Cricetulus griseus: one gene and its partner. The protein of the gene in region 2 purifies or fractionates together with the protein of the main gene of each other region. This does not show direct contact. Links are inferred from orthologs where the notes say so. Each region holds a gene or a part of one and is shown on either strand. Other genes may lie near its edges.

What was found.
Region 1: the proteins of Fbxl13 (region 2) and Cetn2 purify together in Homo sapiens (affinity purification with mass spectrometry; 3 studies listed by BioGRID and IntAct, counting the BioPlex papers as one, with this or other methods). This does not show direct contact. The link is inferred for Cricetulus griseus from reciprocal best matches to the Homo sapiens genes FBXL13 and CETN2.

The regions. Positions count from the first base shown.
Region 1 is NC_048604.1:2,887,454-2,891,376, reverse strand, and holds the start of Cetn2 (centrin-2), read right to left. Parts: upstream 3,052-3,923; 5' UTR 3,007-3,051; coding exon 2,905-3,006; intron 2,900-2,904; exon of another isoform or gene 2,769-2,899; intron 2,750-2,768; exon of another isoform or gene 2,621-2,749; intron 904-2,620; coding exon 745-903; intron 467-744; coding exon 338-466; intron 1-337. UniProt on the Homo sapiens protein: Plays a fundamental role in microtubule organizing center structure and function. Required for centriole duplication and correct spindle formation. Has a role in regulating cytokinesis and genome stability via cooperation with CALM1 and CCP110.
Region 2 is NW_023276806.1:173,022,661-173,026,418, reverse strand, and holds part of Fbxl13 (dynein regulatory complex subunit 6), read right to left. Parts: intron 3,066-3,758; coding exon 2,902-3,065; intron 396-2,901; coding exon 194-395; 3' UTR 1-193. UniProt on the Homo sapiens protein: Substrate-recognition component of the SCF (SKP1-CUL1-F-box protein)-type E3 ubiquitin ligase complex.

The DNA of each region.
Region 1 (3,923 bases), on a different chromosome or scaffold from region 2:
CATTTGTCCGAAAAATGTCACAATACCTGATTTATTGTATGCTAATCTAATTTTAATAATATTAAAATAAAAATGAGAAGCATATGAAAATCTCTGTGTTAACATGTTTTAATGCTTGTGATTATCATATGGTCATATGAGACAAGGTAAAATGATTTCTGTGATACCGTAACCCTAAAGAAAGCCAAATGAAAATTAGGGATCCTCTTAATTATAAATACAATGCTCAATCATGTGAATGGTATAGATTTTATTGGATGAAGTTCTTTTTATGTCTAGATTCCCATGTATCTACCATTATGGATGGGAAGTATGCTCATTATCTCAACTAACTTACCATTTTCTGAGTCATCACTGTCAAAAAGTCACTGAAGTTCATTTTTCCTGTCCCTTCCTTATCAATTTCACTTATCATCTTTTTGATTTCTTCTTTCTTAGGTTCAAAGCCCAGAGCCCTCATTGCAACCTACAACGAAAACAGGATCATCTAAATAAACACATATAAATGATGTAGACGCAAAAATGGCTATTGATGATAATAACAAAATGGTGAAAATGATTAGGGAACACTGTAAAGCTGATTTAATTGATATTTGCAATCAACTTTTATCATTAGATCATTGTTTCAGGTTAAATATACACAGGGTACCTTTTTCTGTTACTTTTTACAGGGAGAAAGGTGATAGGTAAAAGACAAACAACAAGGAAACACAAGGCACCAAAACAGGAATGTGTGCAGCTTGCCTTTAGTTCCTTGATGTCTATAGTTCCAGTTCCATCAGCATCAAAGAGATCAAAAGCTTCCCGGATTTCCTGTTTCTGTTCTTCAGTCAGTTCAGGCTTAGGGCTCATTCTTTTTCTCTGGCCACTGGATGCCATGTTTGTCTTCTTAAAAGTAGAGGCCTTCAGACATTATACAAACACAGAAGCACAGTATTATAAGCCATAGTCCATATTTTATTTATGACAGTTCTAGACATTCATAAATTTTTCATTTATGCTCCACTCTGAGTAATGTACATGTCATTCTATAAACTTTCATAAGCTGGTGAGATGTCTTGCTGCCAAGCCTGACAACATAAGTGAGAACCCAGCACCTACATGGTAGAGAGAATCAACTCTTCCAAGTTGTTCTCTGACCTTCATGCTCAGACTGAGTCCCCTTCTCCCTTACACAAATAACAAGGGTTCAAACTAAGTAAAATTAACCCCAACTCTAAAAAAAATCCTGAGAAGAAAAATAGAAAAACTCTCTTTAATTTAAAACCCCTTTAATAAGTATATTTTAGCTTTTAGTATCACATTGTAAAAAACAGAAAATCAGCAATACACTAATTAAATGACTGTGTTCTACCATAACTGTAAATTAAAACATCATTTCTGTTAATAATGTAATGTCTCACATGATTAAATCCAATTATATTTCACTGGGGAGCCAGCAGCCTGAAGGGACTTTTCATTTTAAAATAATATATTAACATTTTTCTCCTTGTCCCTGTATAGATCAACATAGAGCAAATGAATATATGAATATGAATTTCTGGTGTTAACATGACCAGTTTTTCATCACAGGATATAATTCTGGCCTCCACTGTCTTCAAGTTTATACTACAGATAGTGTATTCATTTGTACCTTTAATAGACATGTCACTTTAGAAAATTAAATTTTTTAAATCAAGATTTCTTAAATCAAAAACTTTTAAATATAAAGAAGCAACATTAGCCAGGCGTTGGTGGCGTATGCCTTTAATCCCAGCACTCGGGAGGCAGAGGCAGGTGGATCTCTGTGAGTTCGAGACCAGCCTGGTCTCCAGAGCGAGTGCCAGGATAGACTCCAAAGCTACACAGAGAAACCCTGTCTCGAAAAAAAAACAAAAAAAAAAGCAACATTAAAAACTCTTTGAATGAGAATAACATGTTTACCTAAAGGTTCAACATGCTTGCATTTTCTCCTTCTTTTCTAAAGCTAGTAAACAGCAAATTTGAGACCATATCTGTTTGTAAGTAATAAACTTATAATTTTATTATGAATAGATTGTCACAAATTTCTATATTGTATATTCAATTAAAGCAACACGGTGTGGTTTAAGTTTTCATTACCAAAGATGAAAAAAAAGATCCCTCCTTGTTCTAATGCCACTGCTAACTCAGACAGCTGATTAATGGAAAAATAATTTATACCAACTGATTCTAAAGATCTGCCTAATAAATTGAGCAATAAGGAAGTTTCCTGGAAAGAACAATTAATGTTTCTATGAACCTCTGACTCTTTAAAAAATATTGATTTTAGAGGCCAGGAAACCCCTTATTTTTCATCCTGAAAGAAAGCTAGGTGAGAAACTAATTATGCATACTTAACAGATATCAACTGTCTGTGAATCTGGGGATCTGAGTTCTAGACATGTACTTAAAACATCAACTTAGGATGCTAGTTCCCAATCCATTTAGCACTTGGTGCCTTGTCTGCGAAGCTCAAAGCATCTCCTGAAAGCCTCAATACATTTGTGACCATCAGAACATAGTAAATCTCTTAGTACCACGCATAAACTTTAGCAGGTGGCAGCGGCCAGGACGCCTGTGTCTGTCTGAGGTCTGAGTCTGTGGGAAGCCTGAGTGTTACCTGCAACAGAATGGTCACCTGTGGTTCCAGGAAAACCAGCAGAGATCAACAGGCAGATTAGGGGTGACTGAAGGTGACTGGGGGCGGGGAGGGTTAAGTGTTGAAGCGCAGGCAGGCTAGCGGCCAGAGGCTGTACTTTTTCTCCTACCCTTCCGGCATAGAGCTCCAAGGAAGAACTAGTACGCCAAAGCGAAGAAGAATGCAGGAAAGGCTGCAGGGCCGCAATGAGGCCTAGGAAGGGCTCGGAGGCACTACGCAGGGTCCATGGAACGCCCAGCACTTACCATCGCCGAATGGACTCCTCCGCGACCGGTTGTTAAGGCAACGCGTACTCGCGGCCTCGGCGCCTTTCCCACTGCTCTGCGCGCGCGCGACCCGCTTCCCATTGGTTTGCGGACGGAGAAGGTGGGGCTAACCTGGCAAGGTCCGCCCCAGGGTAAGAGGGCAGTGTGGTGGCGGCAAGGACTGACGATCTCATTGGACAAAATCGCGCTGTGAGCGTCAACTGGCTGCGCCGGACCCGCGCTAGACCAATCAACGTGAGGAAGGAAGCTCGGCTGATCATGGGCCCATACCTCTCCGTAGAAAAGGGTGTCTGGTCTTGGGTTGAAGTTCGCTGGTTGCAGGTTGCTAACAAGCTGAAGTCGACTGCAAGAGTGCCTAAACCGGGTAAGAGTTGCGGCCTTGCTCATGGAGGCTGCTGCGTGTGAGCAAAAGAGCCGGGAGACAATGAGAGAGAATGGGTGGGATATGGTAAAACCCGAGATGGGAACACAGACTATCTATGGGGCCAGGAAAGATTTGGCCTAACGGGTTGCAGGGGTGACTATTTGGGGCAGCTGAGGCCTAGAAAGGGGAGTGGGCATGCTGACTGTTGTATCAGCGGTTCACGGGGCTGGGACTTAGAAACTCAATGCAGGCGAGTCTTTGTGAATGTAGTTCTCAAGATGATGAACTGGGGACTTTCTGGGTCTAGAAAAGTCATCAGAATGTGCCCTTTTAGAACGTGCAGACACAAAAGTCACATGAGAAGGACCATTCCTGGATGAAACTTCCTTCAAAGAAAAGCTACAGGGATTTTGGAAATGTTGGATGCATAGAGCATTAAACAGAAATGTGTGCAGGGGGGGGGGTGGTGTTACCTGGAACTGTTCCAGAAATAATGGAGGTCCACGGTCAGCTACAGCAGTACCTCAACCATCACACATGCTTCCCTCAAGGCATAGAATATTAGTTTGGGGACATTAATGCCATAGCATCAGTTTCTCAAACTGACAAAGGCCAGAGAAACTTAACAGCATAC
Region 2 (3,758 bases):
CACACACAGACTCACATTAAGTAAATAGATGTTTAAAAATAACTTTATCGGGTTGCCTTGGAGTCTCATTAGATAAAGGTGATGTTTGCTTTTGAAGTAAGAAGCAGAGGCATGCTGCTTTTTTTGTTGTTATTGGGACAGCAACTTAACATCGCGTGAAGAAACATTATCAGTTCCAGAAGTTTTGTTTTCCCTATTTGAGGTTGGAGTCTGAACTTTCCTCGTCACTGCTGAATGTGTCTTTGACTAACAGTTCTGTCTTTTTTCTGAGTTGCATTCTATGATGAGTCTCTGCAAGACGATTGCCATCAGAGTCATAGCCAAACCATCTTGGAGGGTTGCGAGAGCTGTATTCCTGATGTTGGACCACAGAGGACATTTTGTGAGCTGCTGCCCTGTAACAACAGTGCTGAGCGTTAGTGAACTGCAGAAGGAATCCCTCCAGTTTTCAAATTTGACCGAGTTTGGAATTCAAAACTTACTATCACTAGTCACATTCAATGAAGAGCTTTGCTTCCTGTTAGAGAAAGTTGGGAAATTTGCAAATATCAGGCACCCCAGGCAAAAGTATCTGTAGTCCAGCCAGTTAGGGCTTACCAAGCTGTATGTTCTAATAAATGCCCAGGAGCAGGAACACTGAAGTCATTTACAGTACTTTTGAGTAAGCGCTCAGCCTGATGCAGCTCCAGTTTATTTGATGAAGGAACAACCTGACCCACCCTCCCTGTGAAGACTAATGTGTCAGAATGAACCTCATCGCCAGAGTTCACAGACCCCTGTGGATGTATGACGAACTCTAGGAACTTTCTAAAAGCCTGTGTAGTTTTGTCTCCAGTATATATTTTTCTTGTGACTCAATGATTAAATGATTAAAAATATTGTTAGAATTACTTAGGAAGAAATAAGGAAGCAAAGAACATACATATGCACGTGCATACATGAAGACATACACACATTTCCTCTCAATGAACAGAGATGCAAAAATTCTCAACATAATACTTATAGTCAAATCCCTCAACACATTAAAAAGTCCACATACTATGATCAAGGTGGTGTCATGGCAGCGATGTAGCGACGGCATAACACATGCAAACCAGTAAATGTAATCCAGGGCATAAAGACATTCAGAAATCACACGATTATTTTAGTAAATGTAATACAGGGCATATAGAGACTCAGAAATCACATGATTATTTTAGTAGGTGAATAAATGGCCTTTGACAGCAATAAATATCCATTTATGATAAAAACTCAAAACCAAAAAGCACTAAGGACAGAAGGAGCATACCTCAACATAATAAGGACTATATATGACAACCTATAACAAACACACTAATTGGGGGACACATTTCCTCTAAAAGCAGAAGTAAGACAATAGTGTCCACCCCTTCACTCTTATTATTATGTTTATATTCTTAGCCAAAACAATAAGGCAAGAAAAAGAGATGAAAGGAATACAAAGACAAAAGGAGAATCAAATTATCTGTAGACAATATGACCATGCACTAAAAGACACTAGTGACTCTTCTCAAAAACTCTTAAATCTAAAACACTTCCAGTAAAATATCCAGTTACCAAAAATCAACATCCAAAGCCCAGGAGTGTGTATATATATATATATATATATATAAATATATATATATATATATATATAATTAGAGAATGATCTCATTCATGATAACTAAAAATAAAAAATCCAAACCACACATGCACATGTGTGCAGGTATGTGCACACACACACAGCCTAGGAATAAACTTCACTAGGTAGGTAAGATGAAAACTAGTTTTCATTTATAATGAAAACTAAGTATTCTACAGTGAAAACTAAAATAATGAAGAAAAACGCCCAAGGCTGCTGGCATTGACTCGAGACAAGGACACTATATTCCAAGACAGCGGTGTCCTTGACTTTCAGGGAAAGGTTATGCATGTTTAGGTAGCAAAGGACTTGAAAGTTGACCAACTTATATGTTACCTGTGGTTTCTGAAAGCACTGGTTTTAAAGAATTGTGACTAGTTGATATGAAGCTAAGTACTCATTGCTCAGTTTGGGAAGGTGTAACATGTGGGCTGTTAATACGGTTCTTCATTCAGCTACAAGCTAGAGTAAATTTAGTGGTCCTTGAATTTTTAAAAGTTTTAGACTGTAAAAGTTATGAGTGCATTGTGCAATATATTAGCTATCCATCTTGTCACATGACAAGAGGGTCTGTAAAAATTATGGTATTAAAAACTTAATAGTAGGGGACTAAGAAAAATCCTGAGAAGGAAGTTGCTGCTGACCCAGTACAGAGAAGTGGGCTGGGTTTGGTCACTGCTGTGGCAGGCAGTGTCACAGGAAAAGAGCGATAGTAAGCCAAGTGTTTATCCACAGCATAGGAAGTGCACGGTGGAATATGCATTTCTCTTTGCTGTTTTTTTTTTTTTTTTTTTGGCTTCCAGTACCACTTACCCCAGCTGTTTCACCCTTCCACCCACAAGCAGCTTCAGTGAAAGAACTAATTAGTATGTCTGTGGTCTCAGTAGTGAGCAGTGAGGCTTCAGAAGGAGGCCCGCTTCCCCTGCTCACAGGCTCTTCCAGTCTGGGGTGAGTGGGCTGCTTTTCTCAGGGAGGTAGACTGAGTGGACCACAGTTCAGTGGCAGAGCTAGAGCTAGGTGACAAGGGGCAGAATTTGGTTGCCTACTTGACCATAGGGAGGAAGGTGCTGAAAGTGAAAGGCCTCTATGAAAGGAATCTAAAACTATGAAGTTAATTTTAGAAGGGCATCCCAGGTTCAACTCAGAATGTTGGTTTGGTTTCAATTAGTGAAAATACAAATGGTTACAGGTTACGAATGGCATAGCCACATGCCGTGCTATCCTGGCATTTCCAAGGCCTTCATATCTAACTGCCTACTTACACAGAGATGGACTTGCAGAATTGCATCTTGAGGATCCGGAGTTGTTTGCAGCCAACTCGAAGGTCCTGAAGGATCTGGTCTGTAAGTAGGATACAGCCAGAGATATCCAAAATGTGCAGATAATGGCACTTTGCAGATAATGTCTCCAACCCTCCATCAGTAATCTGCACACGCAGCCAAAGTAAGTAACAGTTATTGAGCAACTCTGTCTCACAGGGGAGCAGTATTTTAATTTAGGGTGCTGTACTTACATATGGTAGATTAGGTAACTCATACATCAAGCACCTATTTCTTAACATTCTGAAGCCTGGGAAATCCAAGAACAAGATGGCTACACATATGGTGAGGTACAGATTTGCAGATGTCTGCCTCGTATCATGCTGTTAGTGGCATAGAGAACTCCAGCCTCTGCTGCTTCTTATACGGACATGATCCCATAATTGCAGCATCCCTTTCATGACATCTTCTTACCCTGTCAGGCTTTCTTTCACCAAGTTTATCCCATGATAAGCCAAGTCTGTGGTTTAATTACTTTCAAATAAGATGGAAGAGGAAAATACCTGCCTCAAGTGACACCAGAGGATTCGTGATTTCATTGTTCTTTTTCACTTAAGCATCCTCTGGTCTGGATGAGAAACAGTCACCTTTTCTTTAGTAATTAATACATATTGTGTCATTGTGAGGAACTCAGGAAATGCTACAGCAATGGGGCTGTCCATGCTTGAAGTCCTCTGTAAAGCTTTACCAATTTGGAAAAGTATGCCTAATAACATCACATTGCAAAGCTACTAACATACATGCCCCAAAGACCATCTCCATACAGCATAGGGTTTCCATGAGAAGGAGCCGAACATCTC